Struthio camelus: one gene and its partner. The protein of the gene in region 1 purifies or fractionates together with the protein of each later gene. This does not show direct contact. Links are inferred from orthologs where the notes say so. Each region holds a gene or a part of one and is shown on either strand. Other genes may lie near its edges.

Region 1 (9,851 bases):
AGACTTAAAAGTTTTGTACTTGGAACAGCATTTTGGCAACTCAAGTTGTCTCTCATTTTCAGTTTATTATACCATAATACAGGACTCTATCCACATAAGTGTTCTTTTATTATCTGATAGTGATTTAAGATACTAGGTTTGAATAGGAATATTTTTGGCCTCTTCATGAATGAAATTAAGATATTTTCATCTAGACAATAAATGAAAGAACTAGTTGTAAGACTACAAAATTACTATATATTCACAGTCCAGTAGGCTGTTTTGTAATTCAGCCAAGAGTTAAGCAAGCCTGAAATGCCAGGTGTTTTTGCTCCAAGTGCTAGTTCTTGGTTCAGTTTAGTTCAAACGCATTTGAATAAGTACTACTCAAAATGTGAAGTCATTTATCAAATGTTTTCAAAGTATATGTTGAATATGTATTAAAAACAGATTTTGCTCAGTTTGTCAATAATGTCATCTCTACTAATAAGGTAACAACTGATTGGTTCTCACAGAGGAAACTGCACTGCAAACAAGATGGGGAGGAGGGAACAGAAGAAGACACAGAGGAAAAGTGTACCATCTGTTTGTCTATATTAGAGGAAGGTGAAGATGTCAGGTAAATAGTACCATTGAATATCAAAATATAATGCAAATGCTCTGGCTTTGAGACCATATTTTGTTATGGTACACTACTCTTTGCAACACTCCCTAGGTTAACAGCTGCAGTTATTAACATTATTTGTCATTGTAACCAATAAATAAAACAAATAGTGATGGTATTGGAGGAGCTCTTGAGGAGCCATTATTGCACAGGTTTCATAATCTTCCCTCCAACTATGGTTAAAGGTGTTTTTAATTAAAAATACTCATTGTTCCGTCTGCATTGTCTTTGGGAGAACGTAGGTTCTCTTATGATCTTCCTAAGTTGACTGTTTGTCTCATGATACAAGCCCAAACTGATACCTTTTTAAAATATATTAGAGAACATGCTACTCATTCTTTATTTAAATCGTATAGTGCTGTGTGCCTTGGCATCTCGGGTAACGAATCAGGTGTATTCTAGTGTGTCAAATTTAAGTTTTCTGGAATAATGCTACTTAAACTGTAACAGATTTTAAATCAGTGTAGCAGTAGAATTGGGCAGCTTTGTATGGGATAGTTGTTTCTAACTTACCTGATGCTTCATTTCATTGCCTATATCCATTTCTTCTTAGCACTAAAAAGAAGTTCAACAGTTTGAAAGGTTAGTGAAGCGGGGGGGCACGGTGCAGAAACACCCAAGAAGAGGGTGCAAGAAGAGTAGACACCTCAATGGCAAAATCCACACTACCATTTTTCCAATGGGTATGTTGATATGCACATGTTTTATTAACACAAATATTTTTCTGTTCTGATGACAGGCGCCTTCCATGTATGCACCTTTTCCACCAAGTATGCGTAGATCAGTGGTTGATTACTAACAAGAAGTGCCCCATTTGCAGAGTGGACATTGAGGCTCAACTGCCTAGTGAAAGTTGACACCGTTTTCCAGAACTCTTGTCCTCCCTCTCACTCCCTTTCATCCTTCCTGGTACTGCAGTCAACCAAAGATGGCATGACTTACCTGCGCAGATTTGGAAGCATTGAACCTAGAGTGCTGGCTCTGCTATATGGTACAACTAATGCTAGACCTACAGTTCGTGTAGACAGTTGAGTTTCAGTGTATTTATAAAACCTCTTTTTTGTTGTTTAGGTTTTACATTTTTTTCTTTTAATTCATTACTGTATTTTTGCATGGTTCCTTGTATTGCATTTGTTTGCACATATTATGGGCTTTGTGACCCCAGACTTGCAGGCAAGACTAGCTGCTTTAGTAAGTAGAATTGTGTGGTCTCTTTTTTTTTTTTTTTTTTGGTTTGTTTTACATAGTATCAAGCTTTGAAAATATGATTTCACTCATTACTAACCTCGGGTTCCTTAATTTAATCAATCATGTATTTTAGTTTAATGTATAAAGATCATCTAGAAAAGGATAATATTATGTATTGAGACATTCCTTAATTAGGAAAAAATGGCTGCTGTATATTAACAATATCAATTCTGAGTCAAATACCATCATTAATACTGGGAACAGAATATGAACTATATTCAGTCTGACTGATACATATAGCATACTCATCACCAGAGTTTTGTCTGATCAGATTCTTGTGTTCGTTTTAAACTTTCAGCACAATGCAGATATATTTGAATGTCAATATTAAACATTTAGACTGCTGTTCGGATTGTATTTATCTTTTTCTTCCTATGTCTAGAAATTTGAATCCCTAACTTAATATTTGCTGCTGTGAAACAGCTCTAATGAACACTAAATGTTGATTTCAGTTAGCTGGATTTGTAGATACTTGCAGATTGAAAGAAATATTAGGGAAATGGAAGAACTTAGAATCTTTGTTTGGTCTTCTGCTAACTTAAGTTGAAGTATCTGCACACTTGTTTTGGGGTTTTTTTTTGGTTTTTGTTTTATAAAACCATTCAATCAGGACTTAGAGCTGCAGGGGTTTTTTTAGATGTTGTTTTCTGGGGGTGGGCTTGGGGAGGGAAGGGGCAGATATACACGCATTCATAGAACTTCTAAAGATCCCAGGGATCTTTAGAAGTTTAGAAGATCCCTTGGGATTTTTATTAGTTTTTAAGTTAATAAAATTAGCTAAATTCACCTGTCTCTTGTTTTATTTTTCATTAGTAAATTGAAAGCCTGTAAATTTCTGTAGAAACTGAGACACAAATTATGTGGTTATCTAGTTTTGCCTTGATCATAGATACCCTCTTTATAAATTACCAACAGTCCATCACTGATTGAAATATTTTCTATAGTTAAGATTTGCTGCATAATATAGTATATAGAATTAAGTTATAATGTACTAACATTTCGCCTTTGGAGGAAGTTTTAATGCACATCAGGACTCAAGTCGCTTATAAACATTCTTTCCACACATAATAGAGTATAGTTTATTTAAATGTGCTCAACAGATGCTGAAAACTGCAAAAACAGTGAGACAGTATTACTGTCGCTTTGGAAAAGATGTTCCTAGGGGATCATATATGAACATGTCAATAAGCTTGCATTAAGCCACCTGCTTTGTAAGTGGATTGAGTAATACCTTCAGTTTCTCTGGTCTTTGTCTTTCATAATCAGATAAATGTAAAACAGTTTACAGTAAACCTAGAAAATGAAATGTTATGTTTACACTAAAAAAAAAAAATCCATTTATAAATATGACCTTATCTAATTTGATGCCTGTTTTTTGTCTGGTTAAAGCTGCTTCCCTTTTTATTTTTTTAATCTGTTAGGAGTAGCATTTTCCAATGCAGTGTCTATTGCTGGCAACAGACTTACCACCTCTGGCACTGAGGCATTAAGTGGGGAGAAATTTTTATTCCAGCATGTGTGATGAGTGGACATTTTCAAGCTTAATTGCGTTGCTAAAACTGAACTTAAAAACCACTTTGTGTTTGTAAGATGGGGGATATGGGAGAGAGGCAAAATACGATTTGGCTGCTTCAAAACCTGACATGGTTTTATGCTAAAGCTTCTTGAACATGATGGCGGTAGGAAACTGAAAGTGGGTATGAAATTAAATCTGCATTGGTAAAAATGAATAAAAATAACTGGAAGGACTGAACAACAGACACTTCCCATTCTTCAGTGAAATTGAAAAGGAGGGAAGTTAGTTTACCAGTGGTGCTTGAAGTCTGATGATATTCACTTCTTTTAAAGTTTCCAAGAAGGTACTTGTGAGACATGGGGTGGGGGGGGAAAAAAAAACACGGGGTCTGCAACATAATTGAGACCCTGGGTATGTGATGGAACCCGTTTTGGCTTCCTTACAGGACAAAGAAGCACAGGTTTTGGGGATATTTTTTTAGGAATTCTTTTATGCACCTGCTTTGGGTGCCTGGTACTAGAGGCATTTTAGTGGCCCATGAATTGAGTTGTTTAATAACTGCTACTGATATTGTCTTGCTTTTAAATGTATGCATTGTAATGTGATGTCAAACACTTAGGTATTTGCCAGGAATCACAGTGTTCTGGTCTTATATGCTATTGCAGGGGCTAATAAAGCTGCAGCCTACTTCTATTTCAGAAAGTTGTGACTTGACCATAATTTAAGGGAAAGAAAATGAATAGGCTTTTGATTTTGAAAATTTCCACCACTTACTGTGCTTTACATGCTTAGATGCATTGCCTTAAGTTTTTCTGCAGCATCTTTGAAGATAAGATTCTCAACAGTATGCATCAAATTACTTTTCATATAAAATTCCATTGTCAAAAGAAATCCTTTTGTATGCAATAAATAAAATGTTAGACTGGTATCATTCAAAATCTGTTTCTTATGCAAGTTTTTTCCTTTTGTTGTCTTCTGCTCTTATAACTCTTCATCTGAAAAAAATTCTGTCATGTATTCTTGCAGATACGGTCTAAGGAAAAATACCCTCAGTGAAGGATCAATATTTAGCTACAGATAAGTTGTTGATGTTTGGTATGCCATTTAACTGCAAGTCAGGAATTCAGGAAAACTGCTCTTATAAAGGCCATCAAAATACTAACTTGTGCACATGCGAGTAAATATAGAAGGCCACTTCTGGGAGACTGCAAAATAATCGTGCAGAATTTTACTTTTCTATCGGCTTAGGCTACTACTGTAGTATCAAGGACTTACAGAATCTCAGGATCAGGAGTCAGTTTGACTTTAATCTCTTTACAACAGCTACTTAGGAAGAGTTTATACAGACAAACTGAAACTCTGCGTCCTGCAAAGAGGAGCAGTGTTGATCTTTGCCCTACACGTGCGTTGGCGCCAGTACGGTGGCGTAAGTCTTCAGCACGTGCAAAATCTCCACCTTCAGTACTGGAGCTGCTGGGTCGTGTTCTTCAGTACGGCTGCCTTATAAAACGCCACCCCACTGAAAACGGGGACCATCCTTGCTAAACAGCAAGCGCGAATAGTTTAAGAGGGCATTTCAAAAGCAGACCTAAAATGAATAAAACCCTGGGCTGTTAGGGGAAGGCAAGGTAGAGAGGTGGCAGCAGCAGTTTAGCAGTCTAGAAGCATTGGGGCGGGGGGGGGAGGGTGATCGCGTCTAATTTTCAACTAGTTTAGCTGCAGCAGGAGAAGCCGGTCCCAGCGCCTCGGTTCAGCCCCTTGTTACCTGGGCGCTGCTCCTGCACCCGCTCGAAACCGAGCGGGCCGGGCGGGGGGCGGGTTGTTCGGTGCAGGGAGCGCGGCGGCCGCGGCTCCCGGCCCAGGCCGTCCGGAGCTCCGGGGGGGGGGGGCAGCTCCCGTGGGGCCCTGCGGCGCCGCCGCCCGCCCCCCCCCCTTTAAGAGGCCGGCCGGTACGGAAGTGGCGGAGCCGTTTCCTGTTTGGGGCGGGCCTGAGGAGCTGGGCCAATCAGGCGCGTGCATCGTACGAAGCTGCCCAATCGGGGCGCGGGCGGGGCGGCAAGCGGGGCGGCGGGCGGCACGAGGCGGCAGTCGGCGCTCGCGGCTGAGGGGAGCTGGAGCCGCCGCCTCCTCTTCTGCCTCCTCTCCTCGTCTTCCTCCTCCTCTCCTCTCTTCTTCCTCCTCTGCCTTCCCTGCGCGCCCATGGCGCTGCCGCGCCGCGCCGCCGTGAGTGCCGTGGGCATCGCGGCGCGGCCGGGCCCGGTGGCGGGACGTTGTGGGGGGGGGGGCGCTGTGAGGCCAGCGCGGGCCGGGCCGTGAGGGGGACGGCGGGGGGACCCTGCGCGCTGCCCCCGGCTCCCCCTGGCTCCCCCTCGAAACAAGGGGAGGGAGTGTGTAAGGAGGGTAGGAAATTCAGGGTATTTCACGGGAGAGTGCGGGAAGGGAAAAACAAGAGCTCCTTTTTTTAGAGTGACTTTTTGATGGTTTAAACTGAACCCACGAGAAACTCTGAAACCCAGTGGTTTCTTTACCATGCAATGTAAGGGATGGCTTACCTTTCTGTACATAAGACAATTACTGCTGTTTGTAGTAAATAATAAGAAGGAAATTGCTTGCCCCTCCCCCCCCCCATCTTCATGGAAATACCAATATAAAGTGGGTAAATAGAATAAGTAGCTATGTTACAGGTAAGCCCTCTAATGTGGACTTGAAATGTTGTGAGCAGGAAAGGAGATTTGGTGCTTATCTCCAATCATGCAGTACAGTTTCATAGTACTCTCCATAACCTACGCAGTCAAGACTTGACTTGTTATTTCTCTAAGCGCATACGAATGCGTAGGAAACAAAACTTGATTGAGTTGAGTCATGGATAGCATCTGTGGAGCATCTCAGCCACCTGAAAATGAAAAAAGGTTGGCCTCTGATTTCTAAGCTGTGATTTTATTCTTCTAGGTCCCTAGAGGGGTTGAGAATGCTGTGAATGAACCTAATCGTAAAGCTAAAACTCAAGTAACTGGCAGAAGGACTGCTTTGGAAGAAATAGGAAACAAAGTTTCAACACGAGGAACGCACATAGCTAAGGTACAGTAATATTTGAATCCTACTTGTAGGGAACAGATGAGTTATTAGTTTTATATTGATAGTCATTGTTTTCATTACAGAAAGCAGAACGCTTCAAAGCATCTACAAAACCTATAAAAGGGCCTAGTAAGATGACAAATATAATTGCACTGCCTAAACCTCCAGCTGTTGTGAATCAAGTATCCAAAGAAACAAGTGTTCCAAAGGTAGGAAGTAACGATGTTGTTCTGATTCTTAATTTCAGACCTATAACGCGGTGCTTTAGCCTCAGTTTATTTATAGAAGTATCCCATTCCCAAGACCTCGGTGCAGGGGCTTTGTTTTTTCAGCAGGTTTTAATGCACGTTCTGCTTAAAGGCTAATATTAAAGTGGCAGAATTAGCTATTGAAATATTGAACGAAACGTGAAAGCTTCTCCTTTAGCCGGCAATCGTCAGAAGGTCTACTCATTCTGTTTGTATGGCATCCTGATGAAAGCTTGCACAGCTAGCATACAAGCAATCTTTCAAATATTTATATAAGGAAGAAGTTGCATTAATAACTAAAAAAATGGGGGTGGGGGACAGAAGGGGCATTGTTGCCTAATCAGTAGATATGTAAGTGCTATAACCTGTTCCTTAGGTTCTGTCTCCGGTTCCTATGGATGTGTCTATGCAAGAAGAGGATTTGTGCCAAGCCTTCTCTGATGTATTGCTCAACAACGTAGAAGACATTGACGCTGAGGATTGGGAGAACCCGCAGCTTTGTAGTGACTATGTAAAAGATATCTATCTTTATCTGAGACAGCTTGAGGTAGGAATACCTACGCACTGATTCTGCAGCTTCTGCAGAATAGCGTTCATCTTGTTGCTCACACAGTTCTCTCACTAACAGCTGCAGCAATCGGTGCGCCCCCATTACCTCGATGGGAAGGCGATCAATGGGCGTATGCGTGCAATTTTAGTTGACTGGCTTGTCCAGGTCCACTCAAGATTCCAGCTTTTGCAGGAGACACTGTATATGTGTGTTGCAGTTATGGATCGCTTCTTACAAGTAAGTGTCTTTAAGAAGTTCTTCAACACCTGTTTGGGTTAGGGGAGTTGCTCAGTGACAATGGTCTTTAAAAGAATTGGGAATTTAGCCTTTTTTAATACCTGGAGATTGTGCTGTGTGATTGGGTAAGAGCTATTTAACATAACTTTGAGGCTGCTAGCCTCTTGGAGCCTGTCATTATAGGGACCCGTCTGACTTAAAGTGGAAAATTTCATGTACGTTCTAAGAATGAACTCTATCATACTGTCATTATAAACTAATAAATCAGAACCTGTTCATCTAGAGTTTGATGATTTGAGGTCTGCCTTTGTAAACCTCTGTGTTGCAGAGTCATCCAGTACCCCGTAAGAGGCTTCAGTTGGTGGGTGTAACAGCACTGCTTCTTGCTTCAAAATATGAAGAGATGTTCTCTCCTGATGTAGCAGACTTTGTTTACATTACTGACAATGCCTACACCAGTGAAGAAGTTAGAGAAATGGAGATCGTGATTCTCAAAGAGTTGAACTTTGATTTGGGACGTCCTCTTCCGCTTCACTTCCTAAGAAGAGCGTCAAAAGCTGCTGAGGTGGGTACTTGTCCATCCTCGTTATTTAGAACTTTTTTGTTTGCGTAAAGACAATCTGGATTGCTTCAGGCCTTTTTTATCATGTTGTCCGACTTTTCTTGTTCCAGTTTTTGAGCAGAAAGCAATGTTCAGCTATAAAATTCCACCATGTGGTGGCATGACTGTCAACGTCACTGCAATTTCCAGTAATTGTTCATGTGTCTTTACTGGGGCTTGTGTCCAATCTTAGTTGTAGTAATTTCACTGTTACAGTAAAACGAGTAGGTGATGAGTAGAAGATGAGTAGAGCACAACTGTAGCCTTTTGCCTGGTAATTAGGGTGTTCTTCAGTAAAAGGTTCCCTCAGCAGACTACTGGGCAGCTCTTGAAGTAAGCTGACTCCTTGGACTCCTTGGTAAGGAGCTACTTAACTAATTTTACACTCTTGTTGTTTGTTTCCTCCTTCCCCTTAATCTATTTTAGAGGAAGCATTTGTCTCCCAAGCTGGGCACAGCAGCGCCCAGTACAGGAGTTTCCTGTTAACATCTTTCATGCAACTCTTGAGTCTGCATTCCAAATGGATGCTAGGCTATGCTGGTCCTGACTCTGGGCTCAATTTTGACCTGAGGTAACTGTCCCATTAGGCAGTGTGATCCCTAGATGTTAATAAAGCTCTTGTTGACTGTTCTTGTTTTGCCAAGTTATTTGTCAGTTAATGGCTGGAATAAACAACCCTGGATCAGCTTGATAAAGTGAAGTAAAATGTTGTGAATTAACAAGCTCTTGATCTGATAGGCTGATGCTGAGCAACATACGCTAGCAAAATATCTAATGGAGCTGACTCTGGTGGATTATGACATGGTGCACCATCATCCTTCAGAGATTGCAGCTGCTGCATTATGCTTGTCACAAAAGATCCTAGGACATAACAAATGGGTAAGTGTTTTATTAAAACTACTGGAGCTGACTGTGTTTAGAGCAGTAATGATGCTGGTGATCAAATGATAGTTGGATGACCCGATTTACTGATGAAGGTAGACTAAGGAGTATACCGTAATAACAATCTGCAATATTATCTCTTTTTATGTGGGCACCCTTGCATAAAAGGATTTTTTCCTACAAAGGTATTGAGTTATCAGAGAAGGCCACACTGTAAATAACGCTTGATCTTTCTGCAGGCTGCAGTACAAAGTAGAATAATTAAATTATGGACTATGAACGGTGAATTGTAACTGAATTAGTGGTTACCCTTGCTGCTGCTTTTGGCTTCTGCACAGTGCAGAAGTGTGGATCCGTCTTCTAAACTGATGTACCGTTCCTTGGAGCACAAGGCTAACTCATGAAGTTTGGGGTGTCACTTACCTGAGGTGACTGGGCCTTGAGCAGAAATCCTACTTCTTTAAAAGGCTCTAGATTTTTTTTACTGTTACATTGCAGGGTATGAAGCAGCAGTACTATACTGGCTATACAGAAGACAGGCTTGTGATAACTATGAAACACATGGCCAAGAATGTTGTCAAAGTAAATGAGAACTTAACAAAATACACTGTAAGTATAACTACTCGATTGTGTTTCTAATGTTGTAGAAATGCCTTTGCTGCATATTGTGAATACTTAGCTAAATATTCTTTATGTTATCAATGCATATGCTACTCTGACACGCTTGGGAGAGGATGTTGCATCACTTTGTCCGAAATGTTCCAAAGTTAGTGCTCTGCTCTTGTTATTCTGCATGCTGGTTCACTTCTAACCTTACTTTTATTCAGTCAGGACAGCTGACTCAAAACTGA
Region 2 (10,694 bases), on another chromosome or scaffold:
TCACCAGCCACGTCCTGGGCTTACGAAGCGGGGGGAGAGTGGAAACACAGCCGGGACCCAAAGGTGGCCATGAGGACTCAACGGGGGCCAAGGGGACCCAATGGTGGCCAAGAGGACCCAACGGGGGGTGATGGGGACCCAATGGAGGCCAAGGGGACCCAACAGGGATTGAGGGGACCTCACGGAGCTGATGGGGACCCCATGGTGGCCAAAAGGACCCAACGGGGGGTGATGGGAATCCAATGGAGGCCAAGGGGACCCAACGGGGGCCAAGAGGACCCAATGAGGGGTGATGGGGATCCAACGGAGGCCAAGGGGACAAAGCAGGGATTGAGGGGACCCAATGGTGGCCTAGGGGGATCAACGGGATCCAACAGTGGGTATGGAGACCAAATGGTGGCTGAGGGGACCCAATGGGGGTGGTAGGGAGCCAACGGTGGCCAAGGGGATCCAACAGGGGTCACTGGGACCAAACAGTGGCCAAGGGGATCATCAGAGGCCAAGTAGACCCAATAGTGGTTATGGAGAACCAATGGGGGCCAAGGGGACCCAACAGGGGTGATGGGGACCCAATGGTGGCCAAGGGGACCCAATGGTGGCCAAAGGAACCCAGTGTGGGGGGGTCTTTGGGACCAAGCAGCGGGCAAGGAGGATTAACGGTTCCCAACAGGGATTGAGGAGACCCAGTGGTGGCTGAGGGGACCCTGTGGGGGTGGTGGGGATCCAGTGGAAGCGGAGGGGACCCAGTGGTGGCCAAGGGGACCCAATGGGGATTGTGGGGACCCAGTGAAGCTGATGGGGAGCCAATGGTAACCAAGGGGACCCAGTGGGGGGGGTCACTGGGACCAAACGGTGGCCAAGGAGGATCAACGGAGGCCAAGGGGACTCAATGGTGACCAAGGGGATCCAACGGGAATCATGGGAACCCAATGGTGGTCAAGGGGACCCAGTGGGTTCATTGGGACCAAACAGTGGACAAGGGGGATCAGTGGGACCCAACAGTGCATATGGAGACCCAATGGTGGCTGAGGGGACCCAACAGGAGTCATAGGAACCCAATGGTGACCAAGGGGACCCAACGATGGCCAAGGGGACCCAACGGGGGTCATAGGGACCCAACGGGGACCCAACAGGGGCCACTGGGACCAAATGGTGGACAATGGGACCCAATGGGGTTGTGGGGACCCAATGGGAGCCGAGGGGACCCAATGAGGGCTGAGGGGACCCAACGATGGCCAAAGGGACCCAACAGGGTTGTGGGGACCCAGCAATAGCCAAGAGGACCCAGTGGTGGTGGTGGAGACCCAGCAGTGGCCAAGGAGACCCAACGGGGGTCGTGGGAACCTAATGGGGGTTGTCGGCGAACTCAGTGGTGGCCAAGGGGACCCAATGGGGGTGGTGGGGACTCAACAGTGGCCAAGGAGACCCAAAGGTGGCCAAGAGGACCCAACAGTGGCCAAGGTGGGGGGGGGTCAGGAGGACCCAATGGAGGTTGTGGGGACGCAGCGGTGGCTGTGGTGACCTAATGGTGGCTGAAGGGATGGGGGTGGCGGGGGGCCTGGCGGAGGAGCCGGGTGCCACCTGCCCCTTTGGGTGCCCGCAGAGGACCTGCCGTCGCCGCGGCGGCTGCAGAAGCTGGAGGTGCCCATCATGGCGCAGGCCACCTGCCGGCGCCTCTACGGCATCGACATGGGCCGGGGGCTGCCGCCGCGGCGCATCCAGGACGACATGATGTGCGCCGGGTACCCCGAGGGCCTCAAGGACACCTGCAAGGTGGGGACGGGCACGCGGAGGGGACGGGGGGGACATGGGGATGGGGGGGACGTGGGATGGGGGGGAACATGGGGAGGGGGACATGGAGGGATGTGGGGGACATGGAGAACATGAGGGACATGGAGGGACATGGAGGGACATGGAGGGACATGGGGGAACATGGAGGACAGAGGGACATGGAGGAACAGGGAGGACAGAGGGACATGGAGGGACATGGGGGGACACGGGGGGACATGGATGGAGAAGGAGGATATGGGGGACATGGGGGGACATGGGGGAGATGGGGGACATGAGGGACATGGAGGGACATGGAGAACATGGAGAACATGAGGGACATGGAGGATATGGGGGACATGGAGGGACATGGAGGGACATGGGGGACATGGGGGGACGTGGAGGGACATGGGGGGACATGGAGAACATGGAGGGACATGGGGGACATGGGGGGACGTGGAGGGACATGGGGGGACATGGAGAACGTGGAGAACATGAGGGACATGGAGGATATGGGGGACATGGAGGGACATGGAGGGACATGGAGGGACATGGACGGAGAAGGAGGACATGGGGGACATGGAGGGACATGGGGGACATGGGGGGACGTGGAGGGACATGGAGAACATGGAGGGACATGGGGGACATGGGGGGACGTGGAGGGACATGGGGGGACATGGAGAACGTGGAGAACATGAGGGACATGGAGGATATGAGGGACATGGAGGGACATGGGAGGATGTGGGGGGACATGGAGGGACGTGGGGGACAGGGAGGGACATGAAGAACATGAGGGACAAGGAGTACACATGGAGGGACACGGGGGGACATAGAGAACATGGGGAACATGGAGGCACATGGAGGACTGATGGACATGGAGGGACATGGAGGGACAAGGAGGACATGGAGGATGTGGGGGGACATGGAGGGACATGGACAACATGAGGGACAAGGAGGACATGGGGGTCATGGGGGGACGTGGAGGGACACGGGGGGACATGGAGGAACATGGGGGTCATGGGGGGACGTGGAGGGACCTGGAGGACATGGAGGGACATGGTGGGACACCTAAGTGAGACAGCCCACGTCCCGGCTGCCCCCACGGGGACACAGCCACCCCCCGTTGTGCCCTCGCCCCGACCCCCCCCAACCCTATAGACCCCCCCCCACATCCCCCGTGACGTCATGTCCCCCCCCAAACCCACGTGGCAGGGTGACTCCGGTGGCCCGCTGGTGTGCCGGGCCGGTGGCCGCTGGGTGCTGACCGGCATCGTCAGCTGGGGCGAGGGCTGCGCCGTGCCCAACCGCCCGGGCGTCTACACCCGCGTCAGCGCCTACACCCCCTGGATCGCCCGCCGCGTCCCCGACCTGCCCTTGGTCACCGCCGGTGCCGCCGCCTGTACCGCCGCCTGTACCCCCGTCGCCCTCCTGCTCCTCCTGGCCCTCGCCGGCCCCTGACGGCGGCTGTAGCGCCGTCGCCGCCCTCAGCCTCTTGTTCCTCCTCGTCACCTCTCTTGGGCGGTGCCGCCGGTGGTACTGCTACAGCCGCCGGCGGCGGTACTGCTACAGCCTCCAACGGTGCCCACTGGTGGTACCGCTGCCACCAACGCTGCTGCTGGTGGCCTCCTGCTCCTCCTCGGCCCGATGGTGCCGCCGGTGGTACTGGTACAGTCACCGCCGATGGTACCGCCGCCGAGGGTACTGCCGCCGAGGGCACTGCTCTCCCCCGCCTGCTCCTCGTTGCCCTTGGAGACAAGGTCCTCCTATGGAGGACCTCGAAACACCCCTAGGGGATCGCCAAAACATCTCAGGGGGGCTCAAAGCCCTATGGGGTCCCCAAAACTCTTACGGGGACCCCAAAACCTCCCTGTGGGACCTCAAAACCATCTTGGGGGGCCCCAAAGACTTATGGGGACCCCAAAACACCTATGGGGACCCCAAAACCTCCCTGTGGGACCCCAAAACTATCTCGAGGGGGTCCGAAGCCTTATGGAGATCCCAAAACACCTATGGGGACCCCAAAACCTCCCTGTGGGACCCCAAAACTATCTCGAGGGGGTTCAAAGCCTTATGGGGATCTCAAAACCATATTGGAGGGGGCCTCAAAGCCCTATGGGGACCCCAAATCTCCTGTGGGGGACCCTAAAACCATCTGGGTGACCCTAAAGTCCTATGGAGATCCCCAACCCCCCCTGTGGGACCCCAAAACCATCTGGGGGTCCCAAAACCCTATGAGGACCCCAAAATCCCTATGGAGGACCCCAAAACAACCTGAGGGACCCCAAAGCACTATGGGGGCCCCGAAACTCCCCTGTGGGTCTCCAAAACCCTTCCGTGGGACCCCAAACAGCCCTGTGGGACCCCAAAACCCCATGGGGACCCCAAAACTCCCCTATGGGACCCCAAAACCATCCGGGGGCCCCAAAACCCTGTGGGGATTCCAAAAACCCTATAGGGGACCCCCAAAACCATCTGGAGGGGATCCCAAAGCCCTATGGAGATCCCAACCCCCCCCGTGGGACCCCAAAAGCATCTAGAGGGCTTCAAAGCCCCATGGGGACCCCAACCCCCCCCATAGGACCCCAGAACCATATGGGGGGTCCCAAAGCCCTATGGGGACCCCAAAACCCTCCTGTAGGACCCCAAAACTTCCCTGTGGGACCCCCAACCTCCCCCATGGAACCCCCAAACCATTTGGGGGGGCCCCAAAGCCCTATGGAGACCCCAAAACCTTCCTGTAGGACACCAAAACCCCCCTGTAGGGACCCCAAAACCTTATGGGGACCCCAAAACCCTCCTGTGGGACCCCCAAACCATTTGGTGGGGCCCCAAAGTCCTATGGGGACCCCCAAACCCTCCTGTAGGAACCCAAAACCACCCTGTAGGGACCCCAAAACCTTATGGGGACCCCAAAACCCTCCTGTGGGACCCCCAAACCATTTGGTGGGGCCCAAAGTCCTATGGGGACCCCCAAACCCTCCTGTAGGAACCCAAAACTCCCCTGTAGGGACCCCAAAACCTTATGGGGACCCCAAAACCCTCCTGTGGGACCCCCAAACCATTTGGTGGGGCCTCAAAGTCCTGTGGGGACCCCCAAACCCTCCTGTAGGAACCCAAAACCACCCTGTAGGGACCCCAAAACCTTATGGGGACCCCAAAACCCTCCTGTGGGACCCCAACCCCCCATCATGGGACCCCCCAGACCATCTGGGGGGTCCAAAGTCCTATGGGGACCCCCAAACCCTCCTGTAGGAACCCAAAACCACCCTGTAGGGACCCCAAAACCTTATGGGGACCCCAAAACCCTCCTGTGGGACCCCAACCCACCATCATGGGACCCCCCCAGACCATCTGGGGGGGTCCAAAGTCCTATGGGGACCCCAAAAATCCCCTATTGGGACCCCCAAACCATTTGGGGGGCCCCAAAGTCCTATGGGGACCCCAAAACCCTCCTGTAGGACCCCAAAACTTCCCTGTGGGACCCCCAACCCCCCCATGGAACCTCCAAACCATTTGGGGGGGCCCCAAAGCCCTATGGAGACCCCCAAACCCTCCTGTAGGACCCCAACCCCCCGTGTAGGGACCCCAAAGCCCTATGGGGACCCCAAAACCCTCCTGTGGGACCCCCCCAAACCATTTGGGGGACCCCAAAGCCCTATGGGGACCCCAAAACAGTCCTGTAGGACCCCAAAACCCCCCGTGGGACCCCCAACCCCCCCGTGTAGTGACCCCAAAGCCCTATGGGGACCCCAAAACTCTCCTGTGGGACCCCCCAAACCATTTGGGGGACCCCAAAGCCCTATGGGGACCCCAAAACCCTCCTGTAGGACCCCAAAACCCACCCGTGGGACCCCAAAACCCCCCTGTGGGACCCCAAAAGCCCTATGGGGACCCCAAAACCGTCCTGTAGGACCCCAAAACCCCCCCGTGGGACCCCAACCCCCCCGTGTAGGGACCCCAAAGCCCTATGGGGACCCCAAAACCCTCCTGTAGGACCCCAAAACCCCCCCGTGGGACCCCAAAACCCCCCTGTGGGACCCCAAAAGCCCTATGGGGACCCCAAAACCCTCCTGTAGGACCCCAAAACCCCCCCGTGGAATCCCCAACCCCCCCCGTGGGACCCCAAAGCCCTATGGGGACCCCAAAACCCTCCTGTGGGACCCCAAAACCCCCCCGTGGGACCCCCAACCCCCCCGTGTAGGGACCCCAAAGCCCTATGGGGACCCCAAAACCTCCCTGTGTGACCCCCCCCCCAAAAGCCATATGGGGACCTGTGGGACCACCCCCCAAACCCCCCCTTGGTACCCCCCCACAACCTCTATGGGGGGGGTCCTCGGGGTGAGGGGGGGGGCGGGTGGCCGTTTTGGGGTGAAAAGGGCCGAGTTTGGGCCTGGGGGATCCCGGGGGAGAGTTGTGGCTCCCCCCGTGTCCCCCCCCCCCAACCGCCCCCCCCCCCGGGTGTGTGTGTGTGTGGGGGGGGGATAAAAAAAAAACCCGGGTGAAAAAAATAAAGAAACGGGGGAAAAAAAAAAAAGAGGAAAGAAATAAAATCAATTAACCCGGCCGGGGGGGGGGAGGGGCGGGGCGGCCGCGGGGGGCTCTGGGATGGAGGCGGACCCGGGGGGGGCGGGGCGGGAGGGGGAGCGCGGGGATTGGCTGGCCGCCGGCGGAGGGGCGGGGCCGCCGGGGGAGGGGCGGGGCGGGGCGCGGCCGTTGGCGGGAGCCGTTGGCGGGAAGCGGCTCGGCCCCGCCCCCTCCTCCTCCCCCCTCCCCACAGGGAGCGGAGCGGAGCGGCCGGTACTTGGGGGGCTGTGGGGGGGGGTTGTGGGGCAGGAGGGGGGCTGGGAGGGGGGTTATGGGGCAGGAGGGGGTCTGGGAGGGGGGGTTGTGGGGCAGGAGGGGGGCTGGGAGGGGGGTTATGGGGCAGGAGGGGGGGGGTTATGGGGCAGGAGGGGGGCCGGGAGGGGGGTTGTGGGGCAGGAGGGGGTCTAGGAGGGGGGTTATGGGGCAGGAGGGGGGCTGGGAGGGGGGTTATGGGGCAGGAGGGGGGCTGGGAGGGGGGTTGTGGGGCAGGAGGGGGTCTAGGAGGGGGGTTATGGGGCAGGAGGAGGGCTGGGAGGGGGGTTATGGGGCAGGAGGGGGTCTAGGAGGGGGGTTGTGGGGCAGGAGGGGGGCTGGGAGGGGGGTTGTGGGGCAGGAGGGGGGCTGGGAGGGGTTATGGGGCAGGAGAGGGGCTGGGAGGGGGGTTATGGGGCAGGAGGGGGGCTGGGAGGGGGGTTGTGGGGCAGGAGAGGGGCTGGGAGGGGGGTTATGGGGCAGGAGGGGGGCTGGGAGGGGGGTTATGGGGCAGGAGGGGGTCTAGGAGGGGGGTTGTGGGGCAGGAGGGGGCCTGGGGGGGTTATGGGGCAGGAGGGGGCTGTGGGAGGGGGGTTGTGGGGCAGGAGGGGGTCTGGGAAGGGGGTTGTGGGGCAGGAGGGGGCGGAGGGGCTCTGGAGGGGGAGTTATGGGGCAGGAGGGGGTCTGGGGGGGTTATGGGGCAGGAGGGGGTCTGGGAGGGGGGTTATGGGGCAGGAGGGGGCTGGGGGGGTTGTGGGGCAGGAGGGGGTCTGGGAAGGGGGTTGTGGGGCAGGAGGGGGCGGAGGGGCTCTGGAGGGGGAGTTATGGGGCAGGAGGGGGTCTGGGGGGGTTGTGGGGCAGGAGGGGGTCTGGGAGGGCGGTTATGGGGCAGGAGGGGGCTGGGGGGAGCCGTGGGGCAGGAAGACCCCCCCGCCGCCATGGAGGGGGGCTCCGCTCCTGCCCCACAGCCGCCCCCCCCCCAAGCCTCTATGGGGCAGCAGCCCCCCTTTAACCCCCCCTTTTCCCCCCCCAACACAGCACCCCCCCCCCACCCACCCAAACACCATGCTGCCCACCCGGCCCCACACTTCCCCCCGCACTCCCAGGCCCGGACGCCGGGGCCCCGGGGGGTGGAGTCGCTTGACGGGGTCCCGCCCCCCGCCCCCTTGGAGCCCCGGCCCCCGCAGCGTCACCTTCCGCCTGACGCCCTCTCAGCCTACCCTCGCCAGCCGCCTGTACGACCCCCGGCGCCCCCAGACCTTCTTCCGGCAGTGCTTCCAGGTGCTGGGCCGCCTGGGCCGCGGCTCCCACGGCGAGGTCTATAAGGTACCGCCTATGGGGCAGCCCCCTATGGGGCAGCCCCCTATAGGGGAGCTCCTATAGGGCGCTGCCTGTATGGTATCACCCATAGGTGACGGTCTATGGGGGTCCTGGGTGTAGGGCAGGGTCTGTACAGGGCTGGGACGGGGTCTGGCTCCCACCGGGAAGTCCATAAGGTACCACCTATAGGGCAGCCCCCTATGGGGGAGACCCTATAGGGCGCTGTCTATATGGTGTCACCTATAGGTGACGGTCTCTGGGGGCCTTGGGTGTAGGGCAGGGTCTGTACAGGGCTGGGACGGGGTCTGGCTCCCACCGTGAGGTCTATAAGGTGCTCCCTATGGGGCAGCCCCCTATAGGGGAGACCCTCTGTAGGGCACTTTCTATATGGTATCACCCATAGGTGACAGTCTATGGGGGCCTTGGATGTAGGGCAGGGTCTGTACAGGGCTGGGACGGGGGTCCGGCTCCCACCGTGAGGTCTATAAGGTGCTCCCTATAGGGCAGCCCCCTATAGGGGAGACCCTATAGGGTGCTGTCTATATGATGTCACCTATAGGTGATGGTCTCTGGGGGCCTTGGGTGTAGGGCAGGGTCTGTACAGGGCTGGGACGGGGTCTGGCTCCCACCGTGAGGTCTATTAGGTGCTCCCTATAGGGCAGCCCCCTATGGGGCAGCCCCCTATAGGGGAGACCCTCTGTAGGGCACTTTCTATATGGTATCACCCATAGGTGACAGTCTATGGGGGCCTTGGATGTAGGGCAGGGTCTATACAGGAGTGGGACGGGGGTCCAGCTCCCACCGTGAGGTCTATAAGGTGCTCCCTATAGGGCAGCCCCCTATAGGGGAGACCCTATAGGGTGCTGTCTATATGGTGTCACCTATAGGTGACGGTCTCTGGGGGCCTTGGGTGTAGGGCAGGGTCTGTACAGGGCTGGGACGGGGTCTGGCTCCCACCGTGAGGTCTATTAGGTGCTCCCTATAGGGCAGCCCCCTATAGGGGAGACCCTCTGTAGGGCACTTTCTATATGGTATCACCCATAGGTGACAGTCTATGGGGGCCTTGGATGTAGGGCAGGGTCTATACAGGAGTGGGATGGGGGTCCGGCTCCCACCGTGAGGTCTATAAGGTGCTCCCTATAGGGCAGCCCCCTATAGGGGAGACCCTATAGGGTGCTGTCTATACGATGTCACTTATAGGTGATGGTCTCTAGGGGTCCTGGGTGTAGGGCAGGGTCTGTACAGGGCTGGGACGGGGGTCTGGTTCCCACCGTGAAGTCCATAAGGTACCACCTATAGGGCAGCCCCCTATGGGGGAGACCCTATAGGGCGCTGTCTATATGGTGTCACCTATAGGTGACGGTCTCTGGGGGCCTTGGGTGTAGGGCAGGGTCTGTACAGGGCTGGGACGGGGTCTGGCTCCCACCGTGAGGTCTATAAGGTGCTCCCTATAGGGCAGCCCCCTATGGGGCAGCCCCCTATAGGGGAGACCCTCTGTAGGGCACTTTCTATATGGTATCACCCATAGGTGACAGTCTATGGGGGCCTTGGATGTAGGGCAGGGTCTATACAGGAGTGGGACGGGGGTCCGGCTCCCACCGTGAGGTCTATAAGGTGCTCCCTATAGGGCAGCCCCCTATAGGGGAGACCCTATAGGGTGCTGTCTATACAATGTCACCTATAGGTGACGGTCTCTGGGGGCCTTGGGTGTAGGGCAGGGTCTATATAGGGCTGGGACGGGGTCTGGCTCCCACCGTGAGGTCTATTAGGTGCTCCCTATAGGGCAGCCCCCTATAGGGGAGACCCTATAGGGTGCTGTCTATATGATGTCACCTATAGGTGATGGTCTCTGGGGGCCTTGGGTGTAGGGCAGGGTCTGTACAGGGCTGGGACGGGGTCTGGCTCCCACCGTGAGGTCTATTAGGTGCTCCCTATAGGGCAGCCCCCTATAGGAGAAACCCTATAGGGTGCTGTCTATACGATGTCACTTATAGGTGATGGTCTCTGGGGGCCTTGGGTGTAGGGCAGGGTCTATATAGGGCTGAAACAGGGGTCCGGCTCCCACCGGGAAGTCCATAAGGTACCACCTATAGGGCAGCCCCCTATGGGGGAGACCCTATAGGGCGCTGTCTATATGGTGTCACCTATAGGTGACGGTCTCTGGGGGCCTTGGGTGTAGGGCAGGGTCTGTACAGGGCTGGGACGGGGTCTGGCTCCCACCGTGAGGTCTATTAGGTGCTCCCTATAGGGCAGCCCCCTATAGGGGAGACCCTATAGGGTGCTGTCTATACAATGTCACTTATAGGTGATGGTCTCTAGGGGTCCTGGGTGTAGGGCAGGGTCTGTACAGGGCTGGGACGGGGGTCTGGTTCCCACCGTGAAGTCCATAAGGTACCACCTATAGGGCAGCCCCCTATGGGGGAGACCCTATAGGGCGCTGTCTATAAGGTGCCGCCCATAGGGGACGGTCAATGGCGCCTTGGCTGTAGAGTGGGGCCTGTAGGATGGGGTCCAGCTCCTGTGGTGAGACCTGCAAGGTACCGTCTATAGGGAACCATCTATAGGATGTACTCTATACGGGGTCAGGATTCTTGGGGGAGGTCTAGAAGGTACCACCATGGGGTTGGAGTCCTTCGGGGAACTCTATAAGGGACCGGAACAGGGTTGGGGGTCCTTTGGGGAGGTCTATGAGGGACCACCATGGGGTTGGGGGTCCTTGGGGGAGGTCTAGAAGGAACCACTATGGGGTTGGGGGTCCTTGAGGGAGGTCT

Evidence for each region.
Region 2: the proteins of CCNB2 (region 1) and PKMYT1 purify together in Homo sapiens (affinity purification with mass spectrometry; 4 studies listed by BioGRID and IntAct, with this or other methods). This does not show direct contact. The link is inferred for Struthio camelus from reciprocal best matches to the Homo sapiens genes CCNB2 and PKMYT1.

What each region holds. Positions count from the first base shown.
Region 1 is NC_090953.1:17,503,617-17,513,467, forward strand, and holds the start of CCNB2 (G2/mitotic-specific cyclin-B2), read left to right. Parts: upstream 1-5,369; 5' UTR 5,370-5,606; coding exon 5,607-5,630; intron 5,631-6,356; coding exon 6,357-6,485; intron 6,486-6,565; coding exon 6,566-6,691; intron 6,692-7,106; coding exon 7,107-7,277; intron 7,278-7,358; coding exon 7,359-7,517; intron 7,518-7,845; coding exon 7,846-8,082; intron 8,083-8,856; coding exon 8,857-8,997; intron 8,998-9,498; coding exon 9,499-9,609; intron 9,610-9,851. Other genes in the region: RNF111 (E3 ubiquitin-protein ligase Arkadia), read left to right, coding at 471-598, 1,383-1,500. UniProt on the Homo sapiens protein: Essential for the control of the cell cycle at the G2/M (mitosis) transition.
Region 2 is NC_090973.1:804,738-815,431, forward strand, and holds the start of PKMYT1 (membrane-associated tyrosine- and threonine-specific cdc2-inhibitory kinase), read left to right. Parts: upstream 1-6,372; coding exon 6,373-6,564; intron 6,565-7,818; coding exon 7,819-7,929; intron 7,930-10,694. Other genes in the region: serine protease 33-like, read left to right, coding at 1,604-1,773, 2,980-3,225. UniProt on the Homo sapiens protein: Acts as a negative regulator of entry into mitosis (G2 to M transition) by phosphorylation of the CDK1 kinase specifically when CDK1 is complexed to cyclins. Mediates phosphorylation of CDK1 predominantly on 'Thr-14'. Also involved in Golgi fragmentation.